2 linked regions of the Ovis aries genome follow. The protein of the gene in region 1 binds, or shares a complex with, the protein of each later gene. Links are inferred from orthologs where the notes say so. Each region holds a gene or a part of one and is shown on either strand. Other genes may lie near its edges. The genes, in order: WASHC4 and WASHC3.

Evidence for each region.
Region 2: WASHC4 (region 1) and WASHC3 share a complex: the UniProt entries of both Homo sapiens proteins name them as parts of the WASH core complex. The link is inferred for Ovis aries from reciprocal best matches to the Homo sapiens genes WASHC4 and WASHC3.

Annotation. Positions count from the first base shown.
Region 1 is NC_056056.1:174,304,044-174,307,559, reverse strand, and holds part of WASHC4 (WASH complex subunit 4), read right to left. Parts: intron 2,953-3,516; coding exon 2,856-2,952; intron 2,241-2,855; coding exon 2,044-2,240; intron 1,714-2,043; coding exon 1,614-1,713; intron 1-1,613. UniProt on the Homo sapiens protein: Acts as a component of the WASH core complex that functions as a nucleation-promoting factor (NPF) at the surface of endosomes, where it recruits and activates the Arp2/3 complex to induce actin polymerization, playing a key role in the fission of tubules that serve as transport intermediates during endosome sorting.
Region 2 is NC_056056.1:171,460,450-171,465,008, forward strand, and holds the start of WASHC3 (WASH complex subunit 3), read right to left. Parts: upstream 3,048-4,559; 5' UTR 3,026-3,047; coding exon 2,975-3,025; intron 2,428-2,974; coding exon 2,329-2,427; intron 1-2,328. UniProt on the Homo sapiens protein: Acts as a component of the WASH core complex that functions as a nucleation-promoting factor (NPF) at the surface of endosomes, where it recruits and activates the Arp2/3 complex to induce actin polymerization, playing a key role in the fission of tubules that serve as transport intermediates during endosome sorting.

The sequences.
Region 1 (3,516 bases):
GGAAACTGTAGTGCTGTTACTGGTAAAAACATGACTGCAAATTCACATATAAAACTGTCCAGAATGAATACCTTCCCAATTATGTTTATAGTTTATTTTTTAATGTGATTTTTTATTATGAACATAATAAAATGAATTCTGGCTTTTTGTGCAAAATTTCATATGCATATATTTCATTAACAGAGCAAAACTATTTAGCTAATACATTTAGCAACTCTGAGCAACCTTTAGCTAACAGCCCTACAGCAGAGCCACCACCCAGGCATCAGGCAGATATCTGGGTGACATACATTAACCCCAAACCCCAGAGAGTTCCTAAGAATAGCAGTCCAAAGCAAGGAGCTCTACTGAGACTGCAATGTTTATTTTGTCTTAATGCTCTAGGCTTTAAAAGTAAATATCCAGTCCACCTGCAGACAAAGTTCTGGCATCATGACAGGCCTGAGCACAGCCTACGCAGTAACTGAACTACTGAATCTAAACTCTTAGATTCTAAGAGTTCAGTTACTGAATCTAAACTCTTAGATTCTAATCTAAACTGAACTCACAGTTCAGTTACTACTGACTCAGATTCTTCCAGATGACTCTGCTAAGTATTATTTTTAAATGAACCCCAAAGTAGTAAATATATTTTTTCATTTAATAAATACTGAGTATCTTCCAGGCAACAGCCTGAAATCATTTTTCAAGCACACTTACTTAGTATAGATTCCAAAAATGCTTGCATATGCTAGTAATACTGATGTAACATTATCAATAGGAAACAGGGTAATGGATGTAAGTGGTCTACTGAAATGAATGATGTCTCTTCAGTGTGAAATACATATTTTAAAAATTTAACTGATAAGATTAATAAAAATATCATAGTTCATGAAGTTCTTTTATTCTTGATCATTGTGAAATAAATACGGGCATGAAGAAAGGAAGCAGAGCAAACATGAAACCCGTCAAGTTGCTGTACGTAGTTTTGAGCGTCCACAGAGGAAGCCTAAGCGGCATAACTTCCATAACAGAAAAAAGGAAATTACCATTTTTCAGAGAAAACAACTGGTGTTAAATTTCAAATCTGGGAAATGATCATGAGGGTCCCTTAAGTATGAAATACTGAAGAATTTACACCCGCATAGATGATATCAGACAGAATCCTCTGCCCAGTGACCATCAGTTACTATGGCTGTACTGCTCTGATTCTCCAAGCTCCGGCTATAGAGGGGCACAGGAGGCTATTCACTCTGATACTGAAAGCGTCCTGAGTCACTTGGCCTGGCATTCAGTCAGCATCCAGTCAGCAGTCCTGCCCTCAGCAGCATTTAGTCTCCTCTAATCTGTTCCTTCTCAACTGCTAACAGCTGAAGGGTGAAAGAAAAAACCCAAACTTGGTGCAATTTTAAATTAAGAGAAGATGAGCTGAATAAAGTGTTATTCCAGAATGAAATGCATGTTAAATTTCAGTTTCACAAATGATCCACTTAGGCTTTACTTTTTAAAAAAAGGATATTTCTAGGCTTATATATTTTTTCAAAAAGAAAAGTCTGACTCAATAAAATGGGGTATTCATATCTATTATTGATGAAAGATTTACTAGTCTTTCCAAATAAAAGCCACTCACTAACCTTCTTTCTCTTTCTTTTCTTGGTTTTCTTCAGCTGCAGTCTTGTCAGCTCTGAAGAAAATTCTTGCACTGCTCAGTGAGAAATACAGCAATTCAAATTCCTAAGTAAATAAAAATATCAGAAATAAAAGTTGAAAATATATATTTTAGCAAAATATCAAAATTACCATATTTAATATCTCTTCATTTTTCTAAAATGCTCTAGTAAGTGCACATCATAAATACAGAAACTGAACTAAGCAATCTATCCATTTTTAAAGATATGAGTCAAATGGCTTCCAAGTATCATTCATTTAAAAATATACTCTTTATGACCATTATTCATTTCACCTATTAAAATGGGAGTTTCAATATGATTGACATTTTTTCAGTGATCAAGAAGTAATGGGTATTAAAAAGTCAAACCAGATTTGACTATTATTCTCCTCTACCTGTAGATAAACATCCAGTCGTTTCTGAGTGAGATTCATGGTTTGTAGTAGTTTTTCATCCTGACTAGTTGACTGTACATTTTGTTGCTTAGCAACTGCTCTCATCTCCTTCAGGTATTTCTCTCTAACAGATTGGAACCAGTGAAGTGAGTCAAATTCCTGGTACTGATCCAAAAGCTTCAGAATGTAAGCCACACCTAGAGTCATCAGCAAAACCAAATCAAATTACAATGTGTACACAAACTGTATTCCACTCTACCAACAATTCTTAAAATTAAGCTAACCATTTTAAAATTAATCCTCTTTCCAATTATGCTTTACAGCACAAATGAGAAACTTAGCAACATGGCTTAATTCCTCCTTAAAAAGATGTGATCCTATAAAGAAATTTTTTTTTAAAAAGCCAATCAGGACGATAAAAAGAAATAATATGGCTATGAAGATCTGCAGATCACCTGGAGATAACACAGGGCTGTAAGAGTGGTTCTCCTGCTAAAGAGACAAGTGAGGAAACGATAAGGAAAGCAGAGAGACTAAATAAAAGATGGTCAGACTGTAAAACTACAACAAAAACAAAGCCTAAATAATTAATCCAAGTGATTAGCAACACCAAAGGAGCATGAACAGTACAAATGATGGGAAACAAGCATTACCAATCAGATGACCCACCTAAAAAGTAAACAGTAAATAAACACAGCTTGTGAAAAACAAATCTACAAAGAGCACATAGATCTATTCTCAAGCAAACATTTCAAAAAATTCACTGTAAGGTAAACACAAAATTCATGGGAAAAGAATTTCATTAAACTTACCCATGGCAAAGCCATCATCAGTAAAGGCAGCTCCAATTTTATTTTTTTTATTCAATTTCTCCTTGCAACTAATGGAATGCTCTACAAAGTTGAGGGTCTAAAAAGATATAACAACATATCAGAGAAACGACTGTGCTAAAGAGAGTCGTCAGAATTTAGTTCCTAAAACAGACATTTCAAAACTTATAAATAGGATCTCTTCTAAGTTCCTGCCTTTTTGATTTGAAACACTTGCCTCATATAAAAAGCCTCTTGGTGAGGTCACAGTATGTGTAAGTATCTCATAATGGCTCTTTTCCAAATCCTTTAAATGTCAGCACTCCCTCAATCACCACTTAACCCAAGCACAGTGCCTTGTTATAAGATGCTTACTAAAATATGTACATTTTACAGATGAAGGGACTAAGACTTGAGAAGTTTAGTACTTTCCCTAAAGCCATAATCTAAAGCAAAGTTGAGTCAGAAAAGTAGGTCTGCTTTATTTAAAAGCTTGAGTGAAGTCTCTCAGTCGTGTCCGACTCTTTGCGATCCCATGGACTCTGTCCTCTGTCCATGGGATTTTTCAGGCAAGGATACTGGAGTGGGTTGCCATTTCCTTCTCCAGGAGATCTTCCTGACCCAGGGATTGAACCCAGCTCTTCTGCATTGTAGGCAGACACTT
Region 2 (4,559 bases), about 2.8 Mb from region 1:
CTGCTATAAACAAATAACAACCCAGTTTGGAAACTGATCTTAACTTGGGAGAAAATGGCCCTTCATGTATGAATATGTATATTATATCCCTGGAGTTTATCATATAAAAGACATTTTATTAAATAGAAATGGCATGGTAAAGAAGAGAACACAAATCTAAAAACTAAATTTTGAAATAGCTATAAAGAAGACAGTGTAATCTCTCACTTGAAAATGATATAAACATGCCTCTTATTCAATTAGATGGTGCAACAGAACAGAAGATTGCAACCAGGTAACAGATCAGAATTGGAATCCCAGCTCTTACTTTCTAGCTGTTTGAATGTAGGCAAGTAGCTACTGCAGCTATAAATACTATGCCCTCAAATATATGAAGAGTGCATGAATAAATGACTAAGTAAATGATTTAAGCCTTTCTACATCTCAGTTTCTGTGTTTCTAGAAAAGAGATAATTGGACCTTTCTTAAAGGTCTGGGCTGTGATAATTAAGTACACGTAAAGCACTTAGCACAATGCCTAGCACAGAATAAGTACACAATAAATATTATTGTCATCACACCAAGTAAAAAGTCTACAATTGACATAAACATCCAAGATGAATGCTACAAGCTGAATTCTAAATGAGTGACAGTCAATCCTAAATTACCATCCATTAAGGAGAAAAAGGCAATTAGCTACTTTTAAATTTCATGAATTTTTGTCAACAAAGTTTTTTCTGGGGTTCAAGGAAGCAGCAGGAAATAGTGATATAGTCAAAACAGTTGGAGGGGGGTAGTTGAGAGAGGAACAGAAGGGAGGAAAGAATGAATCATGACGCTTTGATAATGGATAAGCAATCAACAAGATAGTTTTTGTTATACTCTATCTGTATGTGTGCTCAGTTGTGTCCAATTCTTTGAGGCTCAACTCTCAGAGACCTGACCCTTTGATACCCTGTGGACTGAAGCCCATCAGGCTCCTCTGTCCGTGAGATACTTTGGGCAAGAATACTGGAGTGGGTTGCTATTTTCTTCCTCCAGGGGATCTTCCCCACCTAGGGATCAAACCTGCGTCTCCCGTTTCCTGCACTGCTAGCAGATTCAGCTGAGCCATCGGGGATTCCCCACAGAAGGGGTATTTAATTTTGAGTGGTCACTGACCTTTTGTAAAGTAGAATTTGCAAGCTTATGGAGAAATACTGTCCTATCTGTGTGGGAATTTTCTCTAGCCTATGGACTGAGCACAATGATTTTAATATATTAAAGTATATATAAGTGTATCCTGTTCTTAACACAGAATAATGGCCCCAAGGACATCTATATTCCTACACTTTATAGGCAGCAACCATCCCTCTATGAACAGTCTCATTCAAAGACTGGATCGTGGGGGATACTCAAATGATGAACAGTAATTTCAGCACTCAGGTAGTTCATGACCCCAAAGTGGAGCCCTAAGGTTTTACATGATCCTCAAGTATTAAACAAAACTGATCAAGAACACCTTTTGGTTTTAGATCACTGTCCCACTTCTTTGTCCTCTTTTTCTCCTTTCTTCAAACCAATTTCAAGTCATGCTTCCCATTTTCCTTCCCACTCTCTTTTAGTTTTTTGTTAAGACAGGTGTCCCTGGATATGGTACCTAACCTGTCACTGGGCTGTGTGTGCATGCTATTGTTTCCGACCCTTTGCGACCCCATGAACTGTGGCCCACCAGGCTCCTCTATCCACGGGATTTCCCAGGCAAGAATACTGGAGTGGGTTGCCATTTCCTAGTCCAGGGGATCTTCCCTACCCAGGTATCAAGCCCATGTCTCCTGCACTGGCAGACAGACTCTTTTACCACTGTGCCACCTGGGTCATTGGGTTACTTGATCCTTAATTCACAACTCATTTGCAGAAAGTATTTTTACTTCTATCATGATATTTGATGCCCAAGTTATGTTTCTAGGCTACCTCCCCAATCATCTTTTCCATGAAGCAATGTAACATAATTTTAATAGAAACTGAAACAGTATATATTTAAAATGCAATCCTTAGGGTAAGAGAAACTTCAAAATTAAAAAAAAGAAGTTTTTGTGAAATCTGGGAACTGCTTTTGTTGTTTAATCACAATAAACCTTACTGAACTATTTCACAAAGCCTCCAGAAAGTTCATTCAGCAGAGATGAGCTGTAGGAACTGACGGTAATAGAATCAAAGAGGATTTAAGCTATGTCAACACAATAACTGGGGGACAAGAGGTCATAGTACATGACTGCATACACCATAATTCTTACTTTACTCATTTGTTACCTTCTAAAGTGCAAGGTGACATTGGGCCACTCATTCAACCAGTATCAAAGGACCTACCTCCTCACAAACTGTAGAAAAGCGGTTGAGGAACTGTACAGTGTGCACCACAAACTGGTTTAGAAAAGCCACCGTTCTTTTCTGTTGAATAGCTGGCACCTGTTTTACGTAAAAATAAACATGATCCGTACAGGCCGAAACGTACAGCACGAAATCACCTTGATATTAATAATAAGGAGGCGTTCTCCTGTGTGATAGTTACTGGAAGTACTGCGAATAGTCATTAACTTGTTTTCCTAAACTGTGGGGGTGGGGTGTCCAAAATGACAGAGGCTGCAAAGTTTGAGAACGGGTTCTGGATTCACAGATGCGAACTTTCGCAGGTAAAGGGAACACACACAAACACACGAAAAACTGGAAGGGCCAAATATAAAAGAGGTCGGAACAGGTAAGAGTTCTTACCCTTGAACATAAGAACTCGTGACTCGGGAAGGGAAGGAGAGGAGAGGCAAACTACTCCCGCCCCACCTTAGAAGGCTCGGGAAGGACCCATTTTTAAGGTGAACTGTGGAACCCTCCCTCCCAAGAGAGGGGGAAGACACGCACAGGCCAGGGTTGGGCAGAGTGGTGGGGTCTTTCTGGGAACCCAGAGTCCCTTCCCCATCCTCCTCCCAGGTCGCCGAAATCCAACTCCATCTTTACAAACCTTAGTTAGGTCTATGCCTGAGCCCATGAGAGGAAGCCCATCCTCATCCATCTCCTCAGCGGGCGGGGGACTCAGGGCTCACCCCCAAACCCCTCCCCAGCCAGGCCCGCCCAACGCGGTAATAGCGTCCGAACGCCTCTCCTAGTCCACGCCTCCGGGTCCGGGGAAACGCCGGAAGGAAACGCCTCCTCCCGCCAATCACTCGGCGCCTTCCAGAGAGCCGGCCCATTCGCACGGCATTCTGGGAATGGTAGTTCCAGCTCCGGATTGTGACGTCAAACAAGGCGGGGTCGGGTGGAGCAAGGCTGTAGTCTAGCAGTCTTAACTACCTACCTCCAGTCTGGCCCCACTCCAAAATAAAAAAGTAAACCGTGGGGTCTGTTTGAGTTTATCCCTGCTTAGTCTGGTGTGTTATATATGCAGCTAAGTTATTCGTTAATTAAAAAAAAAAAAGTGCCAGATACTATGCTAGGCCTTGTGGTGAATACAAAGATTGAATGAGGTTTAGCATATGTATCTATAGAGAAAACTATGCATTGGAGAAGGAAATGGCAACCCACTCCAGTGTTCTTGCCTGGAGAATCCCAGGGATGGGGGAGCCTGGTTGGCTGCCGTCTATCGGGTTGCACAGAGTCGGACACGACTGAGGCGACTTAGCAGCAGCAGCAGTAGAGAACTATAGAAACGTTATCCTAAGTCGGACGATTGACAAAAAAAAATTTTTTAAGTGCTCTTTAAAAAAGAAAAGAAATATAATGCTATGAGATGTAATTTCTAGTTAACAGAAAAGTGGGAGTGTCTCTCCATCTCCTAGGATCCTTGATCATTACTGTTCATCAATCATCCATAGCTCCTGACAGCAGTGCCACTCACAACTTAAGTGAATTTCCAGGGCTGTTAAAGACAATATCTAGAAGTTTTGGACAACTGCCAGAAATCCTGTGGAATATATAATCCTTCCTCTAGAGTTTCTCTCATTGGATTTCACTTATTGTACTAAATTCTGGAGACAAAGCAAGTAAATTGTAATGAATACTGATTTGAAGAGTCAGGCATTTGAAATGCCACCTGCATATAGCCATTAAATTAAAAAGTCTTTAAGAATCTTTTAATAGTTATCTTTGTTTTCATAGCAGATAACTAGAAAGTCACTTTTATCATGAGTCAGTTCTTAGGTAGGGGAAATGAGAAGACTGTGTTCCTATTTCTTTGTTTTTCTTTCTGCTCTGCTTCAGGATGAACAATTAGAGGAGTATAGTATTGGTTCAGCATAGTGGGAAAATAAATTTAAATACCCCCTACCCTGCTCCCCACTTCCCCCAGGAGTGATGCTGTGCTTAGATCTCTCAGATGTGTCCGATTCGTTGTGACCCCATAGACTGTAGCCAGCCAGGCTTCTCTGTCTGTGGGGATTCTCCAGGCAAGAATAGTGGATTGCCATGCACTTCTCCAGTGGATCTTTCCAACCCAGGGGTCGAACCCAGGTCTTCTGCATTGCAGGCAGATTCTTTACCATTGAGCCACCACGGAAGCCCAAGAATATAGGACTGGGTAGCCTATGCCTTCTCCAGGGGATCCTTCTGAC